Tribolium castaneum: one gene and its partners. Each later gene encodes a partner of the first gene's protein in a complex. Links are inferred from orthologs where the notes say so. Each region holds a gene or a part of one and is shown in the gene's direction. Other genes may lie near its edges.

The links.
Region 2: TfIIEbeta (region 1) and Tfb5 share a complex: the UniProt entries of both Homo sapiens proteins name them as parts of the TBP-based Pol II pre-initiation complex. The link is inferred for Tribolium castaneum from reciprocal best matches to the Homo sapiens genes GTF2E2 and GTF2H5.
Region 3: TfIIEbeta (region 1) and Polr2B share a complex: the UniProt entries of both Homo sapiens proteins name them as parts of the TBP-based Pol II pre-initiation complex. The link is inferred for Tribolium castaneum from reciprocal best matches to the Homo sapiens genes GTF2E2 and POLR2B.

The regions. Positions count from the first base shown.
Region 1 is NC_087396.1:10,270,930-10,276,361, reverse strand, and holds the start of TfIIEbeta (general transcription factor IIE subunit 2), read left to right. Parts: upstream 1-1,898; 5' UTR 1,899-2,013; coding exon 2,014-2,075; intron 2,076-2,130; coding exon 2,131-2,232; intron 2,233-2,286; coding exon 2,287-2,449; intron 2,450-2,500; coding exon 2,501-2,701; intron 2,702-5,432. UniProt on the Homo sapiens protein: Recruits TFIIH to the initiation complex and stimulates the RNA polymerase II C-terminal domain kinase and DNA-dependent ATPase activities of TFIIH. Both TFIIH and TFIIE are required for promoter clearance by RNA polymerase.
Region 2 is NC_087399.1:6,497,872-6,501,281, reverse strand, and holds Tfb5 (general transcription factor IIH subunit 5), read left to right. Parts: upstream 1-1,352; 5' UTR 1,353-1,459; coding exon 1,460-1,494; exon of another isoform or gene 1,495-1,541; coding exon of another isoform or gene 1,542-1,923; intron 1,924-2,384; coding exon of another isoform or gene 2,385-2,611; exon of another isoform or gene 2,612-2,617; intron 2,618-2,638; coding exon 2,639-2,825; 3' UTR 2,826-2,910; downstream 2,911-3,410. Other genes in the region: hydroxyacyl-coenzyme A dehydrogenase, mitochondrial, read right to left, coding at 178-754, 809-922; meiotic nuclear division protein 1 homolog, read right to left, coding at 1,542-1,923, 2,385-2,611; heix (ubiA prenyltransferase domain-containing protein 1 homolog), read left to right, coding at 3,335-3,410. UniProt on the Homo sapiens protein: Component of the general transcription and DNA repair factor IIH (TFIIH) core complex, which is involved in general and transcription-coupled nucleotide excision repair (NER) of damaged DNA and, when complexed to CAK, in RNA transcription by RNA polymerase II.
Region 3 is NC_087395.1:24,234,855-24,239,107, reverse strand, and holds the start of Polr2B (DNA-directed RNA polymerase II subunit RPB2), read left to right. Parts: upstream 1-1,453; 5' UTR 1,454-1,592; coding exon 1,593-1,611; intron 1,612-1,669; coding exon 1,670-3,828; intron 3,829-3,880; coding exon 3,881-4,125; intron 4,126-4,185; coding exon 4,186-4,253. Other genes in the region: uncharacterized protein Rsod, read left to right, coding at 1-42, 91-177, 224-358, 408-963, 1,008-1,108. UniProt on the Homo sapiens protein: Catalytic core component of RNA polymerase II (Pol II), a DNA-dependent RNA polymerase which synthesizes mRNA precursors and many functional non-coding RNAs using the four ribonucleoside triphosphates as substrates.

The DNA.
Region 1 (5,432 bases):
ACTGACAGAGCAACATTAGATAACTTGGATTGCAAATGCAATCTGTAATTAAAATTAGATCAAGACGGAAATGAAATCTGTTTTTTGGGTTGCATCGCCAGATCGTCAGGCTTTTTATTCTATCTGAATTTTATCTGTATATTTAGACTAAATTCGGCGCGATTTTTTGTGTTTTTTTTCCAACAAAGAATATAATATCTGACTCAGGAGGTAAAACGCTAAATATTTAATAAACAGACAAGTAAATAAAAAACCTAAATGAAATACATCGTTCTGGCCTATCTCGGCAACTATTTTTTGCTTATTGTATCGGTAAAATTCAAAAATGGAAATGAAAATTTCTGGATTAAAAAGCAACCTAGAAGATTAAGAAATTGGCTCAAAAGACGTTCATAATTTAACTCAACATTTAACGAGTTGTTTTAAAAAAATATCTTTTGAAATTTGAAGAAAATACTAAATGAAATATAAAAATGTACCTTCTTCGCGTATCGCAGAAAAATTAACGGAAATTAAAACTGCTGAAATACCTGTAGCTATGTACCTATGAATCTTTTTGTTTTTTAAAGATTCACTGTTAATTAGGTAATGTGTAATGTTAGGTAGTTAGACGCAACTTAAGAGATACTCTTAAATGGGCCTACTGTAGACCAATTTTTAATTCGTGATCTTTTTCATGTAAATGAAACAAACATAAAAAAAAACAAAGGTTTATTCAAATTTTAGTTATTATTATAAGTTATTTTTTAAGCAAAGTGAAGTGAAGGTTCGTATCAAAGATATCAATTACCTTGAAAATGTCAACATTAACACTTCTTTCGATAGCCAAAAGAGATAATGAAGACAACCTTTCTTGGCCAATCTTCCTAGTGTTCGTTTTCAACCGCCGCAAGCGAGAAAAAGACCTCTCACAAGATGTTGTGTTTATTGGAATCGCAAAAAATAAACATATAAAGGTCAAAAAGTAGAGGGAACATACTTTTCATAGCCCTTCAACAAAAATGTCGGCTCTTTCTTGGATAATTTTGTTTTTTCATTCTTCCATATTACAAATAATGTTGAGCTGAACAATTTTGGATGGCAATTGCCACCCCCAAATTACGCACTGCCCCAGGTAGTCTTAGCTGGGACAAAATTGTCTCAAAATTGGCGAATTATTCCGAGTTCAGAGCGTTGTAGAGTTCCGTAGCTTAAATGTATGAGAAGACACAAAATGAAGATTTACTTTGAATTGCGTTTTCTTCAAACGCGGGCTAAAAATTTTAGTGTTTATTGTTATTTATGGTGTTCTTAGATGATTGTAGAAAATAATAATTTAAAACTAATTAAAAAATTGTGTAATTTTTTTAGAAAAAATATTTTATTCATTCAACTTGTTTAATTTTTCTTAAAAATGTAACAACAAATTACAAAAACTTAATTTTTTTACACCAAAATAAAGCTATTTTTTAAGAAATCGACAATCGTTTTACATTATTATTCTCAACAATCATCTTCACCATAAATAAGAATAAACACTTAAACTTTTAGTCCGTATTTGAAGAAAACGCAGTGCAAAGAGAAAGTGATCTTCAAACCAAAGTAATGGGGAAGCCCCGAATCTTCATTTGGTTTCTACATTTGGACTACTGAAGCGATTCTTTACTATCTTTACAATGCTCTGAACTCGAAATTCGCAAATTTTGAGACAGCTTGCATTGTAAAACAAAAACCAAAAAACCTCCACACAGCAAGCTAGTAGTTGGCATCACATCCGATTAAAAACTAGAGTTAATTAACAACGATTATTACTACATATTTCTATAATTAGTAATTAATTAAATAATAATATTGCAAAAAAATATATAAAATTCGGTTCAAGGAACAGTCGGCCACAAAAGACAGACAGCGCAAGGCATCGGTCCCCCACCACTTGTCACTTTGACAGCCGTGAATGTCAAATGCAAAAGAAAACAGATGATTATTCCTCAAACAACATAGTTCGTATTATTTATTTATTATTTCTCCAATAAAATGGACCCCGCCTTACTAAAAGAAAGAGAATTATTCAAAAAACGTGCACTTACAACTCCTACGTAAGTAGCATTCGCATTTTGTCAACTTATTCAGTTAATTTTGTTCTACTTTCAGTGTAGAAAGAAAAAAGACTGATTCAAGACCAGAACCAACTCGCGATGATAGCAAAAGGTTTAAGTCTTCTAGTAGTAGCACCCCTAAACTTGATATCAACACGTAAGCAGCAAAACATTGCAAATTTGAATCAATTACTTTGTGATTTTTTTTTAGATACAAAACAGCAACAGGAAGTTCGCAATATCGATTCGGTGTTCTCGCTAAAATCGTGAAACATATGAGGAAGAGACACCAAGAAGGTGAAACATATCCACTCACATTAGAGGAAATTTTAGACGAAACTAATCAATTAGACGTAGGGAATAAAGTCAAGCAAGTAATTTTGTGTCATTATTACAATACTTAAATGTAATGGTGTTGATTTAAGTGGCTGCAAACCGAAGCGTTAGTCGATAATCCTAAAATTGAGGTCACTCCTGACGGAAAATTTTTATTCAAAGCTCCATATAAACTTAAAGACAGGAAAAGCTTACTGAAACTATTGAAACAACAAGATTTGAAAGGGTTAGGCGGTGTGTTGTTAGACGACGTGCAAGAGTCGTTACCACACTGCGAAAAGGCTTTGAAGGTATCATTCTTTTAGTTATTTTCTAAACGAACGACGTACAAATAAAACGTCTCCGACTTCAATATTTTCGGTAATGTCGCCAAAAAGCCCAGTTGACTATTTAAATAACTATTAACACAATTCAAAAAAATACAGGCACATAGAGCATTAAATTTTCAAGAGTAACAACTAAAAATAATGCAAAAATTTCAAACATATTAATTTGCAGTGTGACCCATATTTTTAAAACGCTGTTAATTTGGTTAAAGATACAAGAAAAATGTTAGGAACAAAGTAGTAGAAAAATCAATTTTCTACAAAAAAGTCCGCGACTATTTTTCTTTACAACTTTGTTCTTCACACTTCTTTATACCTTTAAACGTATTCGCTATGTTTTAAAAATTATAACGCGGATTGCAAATTGATAATAAATGTTTATATTTTTTTGCACTTTTAATTTAAATTAAAAACTTAATACAGAAAGAGTCAGAGATTAAGATAGTGGAAACACTTTATTGAAAACAGTGTCAAAAAATCGCATATTTATATATATGAAAACGCTGCGAATTCAACTAAAGATGTGTAAGAAGCATAGATGTAGAGAATTAAATTTCCTACAAAAAAGTCCGCCACATCTTCATTGGTTTAGGTATAAATTAATTTTCCAATACTTGACCATAAAATGAAACGAAACCGCTGTGTGAGCATTTTTAAACATTTTTGGGGCCTAAATAGTTGAAGATGTAGATATGGGGTCGTATGAATAAAGTTGAAGTATTTACTTAAAGTATGAGTATAAAGGAAAAGCATTTGCTCTTGCTTTTACTTCTTTAGTTTTTTGGAGAATCTGCTCTCAAAATAAATCATTGTAGTGAAGTTTTCAATGTTGTAATTTTTAAAATGGATTTCCATCTCCTCCCATTTCGTTGTTCTCACTCAAAAAATACCTAGCCAAAGCACGAAGATTTTTTCGTTCAAACCGATATAAAGTCTTAAAATCTTATCCTATGTGTTCGCGAGGTTGTTTATAAGTTTTTCTTACCCATAGTTGCACAACACCCACCATTGTTTCGAGTTTGAGGTGTTACTTTTAAAAATTGATGCTCCTACTGATTAGCGTCAACAATTTTGAACTAAATCCTCAACGAAAAAAGCATTTACTTTGTTTTATTCATTTTGTTTTGAGTAAAACCTCGACGTTCAAGCAAATACTCGCCCAGTGTGCTTTTACTTTTAGTAAAAACTTATACTTACATTTTTACTCATACAATTTAGAACATTTACTTGCAAAATTTGAAGTAAAAGCATTTACTCAATTGTATTCATACGGCCCTTGGTTTCGCAGATTTTTTAATAGCTATTTATTGTATAAGTGTTTTCGAAAGCATTTTATCCACGCAAGAATGTTTAATATTCTCAAGTGGATAAAATGCGACTAAAACATGAATGCAATACAATGTTTTATCCACAATCGTAAAATTAATCTTGGCAGGCTTTGTCTGGTAGTCATAATTCCTAGTTTATTCCACTAGTGGATAATAGGTCACTATAAGGCTAAAGGGGACGACAGAGTTAAACCAAGTGTGTGGCAAAGACAAGTAGTAATGAAATTTATTTTTCTACTTTTGGCGATATTTGTAATCCAATTTTAAATCGAAAAATGGAATTGACTCTTTTAAATAATTATAATTTGAGACAACGTAAGACTTTGAAAAAAAATTATTTGATATTTTTTTATTAAAAGTTTAAACAAATATTCATAATATTTTTAAAAATGTGTACGGGAAAGATGCACAGTGATGGTACGAACAGAATGCGTCCAAAAAACGAAAAATTTTGTTGTAGTTTTGAACGAATCGCGAATATTCATTTTGACAAAATTTGCCGCCGAGAATCTCCCACAGTCAAGTGCGGGACAAGAGAAAGAGAGGGCAAAAGCAACTAAAGACTAGAAGATGTAAAACACGATATTTCTGTATCCTAGTATTATTCATACAAACAATTATGGTGTTAATTCTATGAACTGAATTTAGTGAAGCATCAACAAAATCTTTTTTTTCACTTTGGAAACAATAGGTCAAATTTTAATTTATTTTTGGTAAAAAAATTATTTTGTCATGAAGATTTCTGATGATAGATTGAGAAAGCTCAGCAAGAAGCAAATAATATCATGTAACATTGAATTCGAATTTTTGTGCTATTAAATTCTTTGAAATACCTCAGACTTTCTCGGAATATGTCGAAACTCTAAGCGAAACATTCTAGGAAAAAGATGAAAGGGATCGAACAAGTCGGCAAAACAAATAGAAATTACTCATAATAATCAACCAGAATTTAGCGTTTGTTTTTAAATGCGTAATTTAAATGGAAATCATCATTTGGGCATCGTTTGTTTTAGAATGACAGTTTGGTTAATTTATGTTTCCATTTCATATTTTAAATTTTAATAATACTATTAATATTTTTAATTCATTAGTAATAATAATTTTATTGTTATGGAATTGTAAAAAAAAATCCAAAAAAACTCATATACATGAAGAAAATAATAAAGCATTTTTTGCAAACGCATATTTCTACGTAAGATTATTAGTTTTTGAGATACAGAAAAAAGTAGCAATTCTAGTTATGTAAAAAAAATTATAAAAGAGACAAAACCAATCATTACTAGATGATTTATAGATATCGGGGTTAAATCAGTCTTTTGGATCCCTAATTTTCATCAAATATACAAAATTGTATGTAGGACTTATTT
Region 2 (3,410 bases), on another chromosome or scaffold:
ACTCGATTTATTTTCCATTCGTAGAGCCTTATTGGCAATAAAAATATTTTCAAAAATTCATTTCGTTTTGTGTAACTCAAGTCGTATCAGATTTATTGAACGCCTGTATTTGCCACAAGCTTGGCAACCTTAAAGCTCTCAGCTTCGCTTCGAGCTTCAATATTACATAATTATTACCTCTCTCCATCATCCTGATGGCTTCTGCTATATAGGGCACCAGAAGCCTGTTAACAATAAACCCGGGGGTGTCCTTGCAGGTGACGCAGGTCTTGCCCACGGCTTTGCCCCACGCCATAAAGGCCTCGTACGTCTCCTGCGACGTCTCCGGAGTCCTAACAACCTCCAAAAGCTTCATAACGGGCACGGGATTGAAAAAATGCAGCCCCCCGAACCTATCCTTCCTCTTCGTAACGGAGGCAATTTCGGTAATCGAGAGCGAGCTCGTATTTGACGCAAACATGGTTTTGGGGGGCGCGACCTCATCCAAATTTTTGAACAATTTGTGCTTAACATCCATGTTTTCAACAATCGCCTCCACGACCAAATCGCTGTCTTTCACAGCTTCGGCAATGTCGGTGCACCCCTTAATCCGGGCCTGCGATTCGCTCACGAATTTATTAGCGGCTTGCGGGTCATCCTTGTGGAGTTTTTTGGCGACTCGTACCAAGTTTTTCGCAATGCTGTCTTCGGCTTTTTTGATCAAGTCGGGGTTGACTTCCACGATGGTCACGTTGTGGCCGGTTTGCGCGGCCACCTAAGCAAGGGGGCGAATGTTAGGTTAGGTTCGGGTGGTTTGGGGTACACTTACTTGGGCGATGCCTGAGCCCATGAGGCCGCCCCCGATCACAGTTACGTTTTTTATAACTGCGTTCATGGGGCTTGAAGTTGAAAGGCTTCGCTTGATGAACAGGTTTAGGGCCATTTTTTCGCGTTCGGTTACGAGTAAAAAGTGGTGTGTAATGCGGATTTTGTTTGGTTTATTAACGATACAATAACTAGGTGAAAGTCCAAGTTTGTAACCTATGATCGACTCCCACCGCTACGTTTGTGTACTTTTTAATCATTTTATCGTTTATGGCGAGATTAGGGCTCAGAAGTGAAAATCATCGTGCCGATGGTTTAAAAATAATCCGCTTTCGATAACGAGTGCGACTTTTGTACCTGAATTTATTTAGGTATTATGTAATAAAAGTGCAACATCATTCAGTCAAGTGGTACACAGGAGGGTTCCAAAATGGGGCTATATAGCAATCCCTGTTATCAATTTATCCACTTTTTTCAAAGAAATACTTGAAAAAAAATATAATTTTGGGGAAATTTGTGATTATGCAATCAGCAATACACGTGTGAGAGGTTAGTTGCATTCTATAAGTTGTCAAATGTCATAAAAACACCAACTTTTGTAAGAAAAATAATTTATTTCTGATTTAAAAAAGTACACAATTCTCGATTATCAACAATGGTTAATGTAATGAAAGGCGTTTTGGTGACCTGGTAAGGCCCTAACAATTTTTTTGAGTTTTTGTTTGACATAACCTCAATCATGCCAGATAATCCAAATCTCCGGGAATCCCAAACTGCTTATTTAAAACCTTATCTTCCATCATAAACTTCCTTTTGCACCATGATTTGACCGCGAAGATATTATCAGTCCATCGATTTGCTGCTTCTTTTACCGGTTTTATCTCACTTTGCATTAATTTCAAATTTTGAGTATCTGTGTGAGATTTCGACAGAGATTCGAATTTTTCTTTCTGTTTTTCCAGTTTTTCAATTTCCTTCAAAATCTGGCTGTCGTCCCAATTCTCTTTCCCCACCTGCGCTTTTTCCATAGTTTCGTCAATTAATTTCAATTTTTTTGTTGACGATTCTAATTTCGTTTGAAGCTCGTTAAGTTTGCGTTTTTTCGCGTTAAGTAATTTGCTGTAATTAGGATAAAACGTGTTTTTGGCCCGTCTATACCGTTTTTCGGACACTCTCCCAGTTATCTCAGTGATCTCCGTTATTATAAGAGATACGAGGTCGGTTAAATTAGGGCAAAGTTGCGCATTTTTATGCTGAACAATTATTTGAAAAAAAAAATTGTAATTTTCGTTTTTATTTTTTCAAGTGAAAACCAAAAGAACTAGACGTAGGACTTTTTCGGGCACTTTTTACAAGGAATCTAAATTTGTCATCGGATTTTCCTAGGCTTGCTTGATGTCAGAGTTACAACACTTAACTTCGTTTTTTTTATGGGAAAAAAATAAAAACGAAAATCATTTTTTTAAATTTCTCTCAATAATTCAAAAACTAAAAATGGCACATAAAATTTTCTTTCAGAAATTGTTTTGCATACAAATGCACAACTTCTCAAAAAAACGGACACCCTGTATAATATTTACCTGGGAAAAGCCCAAAAGTAGACGGAACTCCCGATCTTATCCTTATCAACAGAACCATCATCCACCAAAGCTTGGACCACTTCTTTCACAGAATTCGCCGTAATTCCTTTCTCCTTTGGCGCAATTATTTCCAATTCATTCATTTGATAAAAATCCCCAGTCTCGTGAAACAATTGCAACATCCTAGCCTTTTTCTCCTCAAAACTTAGACCTTTTTTCTTGAACATTTTCCCCTAAAAAATGCGTTGTTTCAGTGACCAGGCCATGAAACAATTCCTTTTGTATTTAGATGAGACTACAAAACTAGGCCGAAAATTCATAATTCAGGACTTGGATGAAAACCACTTATTTATTTCAGCCGATATTTTAGAGACATTACAGGCAAAAATCGACGATCTGATGGACCAAATTAGCTTCCCAGTCGCCGAAAAAAGCAATTAATTTTTTGTAATTTGCAAAAGTGAGGTTATGTCATATTGATGTGTGGTCATTCGAATTATAAATAAAAAGCGCAGCATTTATATAATGACGTGTTTTGCTATAAATAATATCGTTGCGGGCCGGTTTTCGTCCATACTTACGCAATAAGGCACTAATTAACTGTTTTTTCAAATTGTCGGTACAAATAATACAGTTCCCTGTAAATTGGAAGTGGCTACAATTACGCTTCTTTGATAACCGACTATTCTACAGTTGTTACGCCATCACGAACATTTTTACACACAAATGATAAGAATAGAATTAAGCAATAGATAACGGAAACGTGTCACTAATTATAATTTTTCCCTGATTTAATAGCCGCCGTGACGTAACCACAGCCACATGTCAAACGTCACAATTGACTTCTTTGGTTATGTTCCGTTTGTCAAAGTTATAAAACGAAAAAACGCGTTTCTCGGCCACAAATCATCAAGTGTGTTAAGTTCCGTGTCAGTGCATTTACCCCCATCATGACGGTGCCCACCCCCAGCGAGAAACTCCTCACCAATGGCTCCACCACTCCCAAGCGCCAAAACGGCCAAAAAT
Region 3 (4,253 bases), on another chromosome or scaffold:
TTCCACCACCCAGATGGGTACGCTTATGGATATTTAAAAATGGTACCACTTTTCCTCAACCCAAAAAAATCCTAATTTTTGCAATTGCAGAAACAACTAATTTACAATGACGGTAGCAAGAGTGACACCACGATCGAAGTCAAACTGCGGCATCCTGGGAAAAACGACCGGAATGTGGTACGTGTCTCCAGTGGTTTATTTTTAATGGTACTATTTTGAACAGACCAGGGACCATGACTGGGCCATTTACGTGAACCCAGTGGGCGTGGACGCGGCCGTCAAGACCCAGAACACGCGGTGTGTGGCCGGGGGCTACATCTGGAACCCCTATTTCACCCAACTGGCCGACCCCCTCAATGTATATTTTGCTTTTTTTTTAATTTTATAATATAATGTTCTGGTTTCAGGGTGATCTTTATCGGCAAGAGTGCGGGCCTGAGAACCCGCTCAGGTGCCACGTGGGGGACCTGTCGGCCCGTTTGGGGACCATCGACATCGGGCTCCAGCGCAAAGTCTTCACCGATGCGAATTTCCCGCTCGAAGGCGACGTCACGGCAATCGGGCGCTCCATCGTCATCATGAGCCCCAACAGACGTCCCGAACGTTACGCCTGTGCCAATATCGAGCCCGACTATGACATAATCAAGTACGCAAACATCGAAAAGCCCCCACGTTTTGTCCTGTCGCAGTTTATCGAAGAAGTGCGCGAAATTCTGGGAATCCCCGACTGGTTTTTGACCGTAGATTCGCGCAAAACCAAGTCTTTGCACAGCGACGCTTGCGTCCAGCTTTTGCTGCATTTTAAAGGACCGCTAGCTAACCGATTAGAGCAGGATTTCAGCCGATTGCTGGCAAGTGGGCGTTTAGACACCCCCACATTGTACATTCCAGGGTTTATTAATACGAAACGTAAGGTGAAAATTGCGTACAAGCAGTGTGGAGTACAAGACCCCAACGAGAAGAGTAAGTTTATGGATTAGGCGACAAAAAATGAGTGTATTTTGCAGGTAAAAAACGGACCGGATTTTTCTTTGCACGCTCAGGAAGCAACCCAGCCAAATTTGCTCACAGTCTGATTGTAGTGATAGTTTTAAGCTATTTATTGTAATGATATGACTGTTCCTAATAAAAAAGTAATATATTACCATGGAGTTTGAAATTTAGCGCCAATAATGAAGTCACGTGGTGCAATCCACAAAAAATCAAAAACGCAATATAATTAAAAAATTGGACTTGTTACCACTTACCTGACCTTTAAGTCACATTACAGATAATTATTAAATATTTTTTTGGTCGAATAGTGTAATTTAACATCGTATCTTGAAAATCTGGAGACTTTTTTGTTGTATGGTTACGTAACACTTCAAGGTCATTGCAGGAAAATAAAAAATTGGGCCGTATTTAACAAGTTTTTTATTTGTTTTCCAAAGTATTGTGTTTGGGGCTACCCCCCGAACATAAAATATTAATTTATTTCACAAAATAAGGGTTTTCTTGGGGTCCCCATACAAAGTCAACTGACACTTGACAGACGCTCAAAACTTGTGTTTTGTGCGTCTCATTTGTGCCCCATTTTTTGCAAATAATCAGCAATGTATGAACAAGACGAAGGTACGCAATCCCCCTTGAGTAGCCCCCGAGCCATTTGTAACAAAAACCGGCTTTTCAGACCAATTCGACGATGAAGAGTCTGAAGAAATCAGCTCCGAGTTGTGGCAAGAGGCCTGCTGGATCGTCATCAACGCCTATTTCGACGAAAAAGGCCTCGTCCGGCAACAACTGGACAGTTTCGACGAGTTTATCCAAATGTCGGTGCAACGAATCGTCGAAGACTCGCCCCAAATCGACCTCCAAGCCGAGGCACAGCACACAAGCGGCGAGCTTGAAAACCCCTCTCGGTATTTACTGAAATTCGAGCAGATCTACCTATCCAAACCGACCCATTGGGAGAAAGACGGCGCCCCCTCGCCCATGATGCCCAACGAGGCCCGCTTGCGCAACCTGACCTACTCGGCCCCCTTGTACGTCGATATCACCAAGACCATAGTCAAGGACGGCGAGGACCCCATTGAGACCCAGCACCAGAAAACCTTCATCGGGAAAATCCCGATTATGCTCCGATCCACGTACTGTCTCCTCAACGGTCTAACCGACCGCGACTTGACCGAACTCAACGAGTGCCCCCTTGACCCCGGCGGCTACTTCATCATCAACGGCTCAGAGAAAGTCCTAATCGCCCAGGAGAAAATGGCCACGAACACCGTCTACGTCTTCTCGATGAAAGACGGGAAATACGCCTTCAAATCCGAAATCCGCTCCTGTCTCGAGCACAGCTCGCGCCCCACGTCCACCCTCTGGGTCAACATGATGGCACGTGGGGGCCAGGCGATCAAAAAGGCCGCCATCGGGCAACGAATCATCGCGATCTTGCCCTACATCAAGCAGGAGATCCCCATCATGATCGTGTTCCGGGCCTTGGGGTTCGTGGCCGATCGGGACATCCTCGAGCACATTATTTACGACTTCGAAGACCCCGAGATGATGGAAATGGTGAAACCGTCCCTGGACGAAGCGTTCGTGATCCAGGAACAGAACATCGCACTCAACTTCATTGGGACCAGGGGGGCCCGGCCGGGCGTCACCAAAGAAAAGCGTATCAAATACGCGCGAGAGATCCTCCAGAAGGAGATGCTGCCCCACGTTGGAGTGTCCGATTTTTGCGAGACGAAAAAAGCCTACTTTTTGGGGTACATGGTGCACCGGTTGCTCCTGGCGGCTTTGGGGCGCCGCGAGCTGGACGATCGGGATCACTACGGTAACAAACGACTGGACTTGGCGGGGCCCCTGCTTGCGTTTTTGTTCCGTGGGTTGTTTAAAAACTTGATGAAGGAAGTACGGATGTATGCCCAGAAATTTATTGATCGGGGCAAAGACTTTAACCTCGACTTGGCCATTAAGACTAAGTTGATTACGGACGGGTTGAGGTATTCTCTGGCGACTGGTAACTGGGGGGACCAGAAGAAGGCCCACCAGGCCAGAGCCGGTGTCTCGCAGGTGTTGAACCGTTTGACTTTTGCCTCGACTTTGTCGCACTTGAGACGTGTTAATTCGCCCATTGGACGTGACGGGAAGTTGGCGAAGCCCCGACAGTTGCACAACACGCTCTGGGGGATGATTTGTCCGGCGGAGACACCAGAAGGGGCGGCTGTTGGTCTGGTGAAAAATCTGGCCCTCATGGCGTATATTTCGGTGGGGTCGCAACCCTCTCCAATTTTGGAGTTTTTGGAGGAGTGGTCGATGGAGAATTTGGAGGAGATTGCGCCGTCTGCCATAGCCAACGCGACCAAGATTTTTGTTAATGGTTGCTGGGTGGGAATTCACAGGGACCCCGAACAGTTGATGGCGACGTTACGCAAGTTGAGGAGACAGATGGATATTATTGTGTCGGAGGTTTCCATGATTCGGGATATTCGGGACCGGGAGATTCGCATTTACACGGATGCTGGACGGATTTGTCGGCCGTTACTAATCGTGGAAAATGGGACTTTATTGTTGAAGAAGCGCCACATTGATATGTTGAAAGAGAGGGAATATAATAACTACGGGTGGCAGGTTTTGGTGGCTTCAGGGGTTGTCGAATATATCGATACTTTGGAAGAGGAGACTGTGATGATTGCGATGTCTCCGGACGATTTGAGACAGGAGAAGGAATACGCGTATTGTACCACTTACACACATTGTGAGATCCATCCAGCTATGATTTTGGGTGTTTGTGCCAGTATTATACCCTTCCCGGATCACAACCAGAGTCCCAGAAACACATATCAAGTATTTGTTTTGGTGTTGTTTGAATTTTTTTAGTAATTAATTTTTTCCTCAGAGTGCTATGGGCAAGCAAGCCATGGGTGTGTACATCACCAACTTCCATGTCCGCATGGACACCCTTGCCCACGTCCTGTATTACCCCCACAAACCGTTGGTTACAACCAGATCAATGGAATATCTCAGATTCAGGGAATTACCGGCTGGGATTAACAGCATCGTGGCCATTGCGTGTTACACCGGTTATAACCAGGAGGATTCGGTTATTTTGAACGCGTCGGCCGTCGAAAGGGGATTTTTCCGGTGAGTATTAAAAAAAAGTAATATAGTAGAAATAAAATAATTTGTTATTTTGTGCTTTAGATCTGTGTTTTACCGCTCGTACAAGGACGCCGAATCGAAACGCATCGGCGACCAAGAGGAGCAGTTCG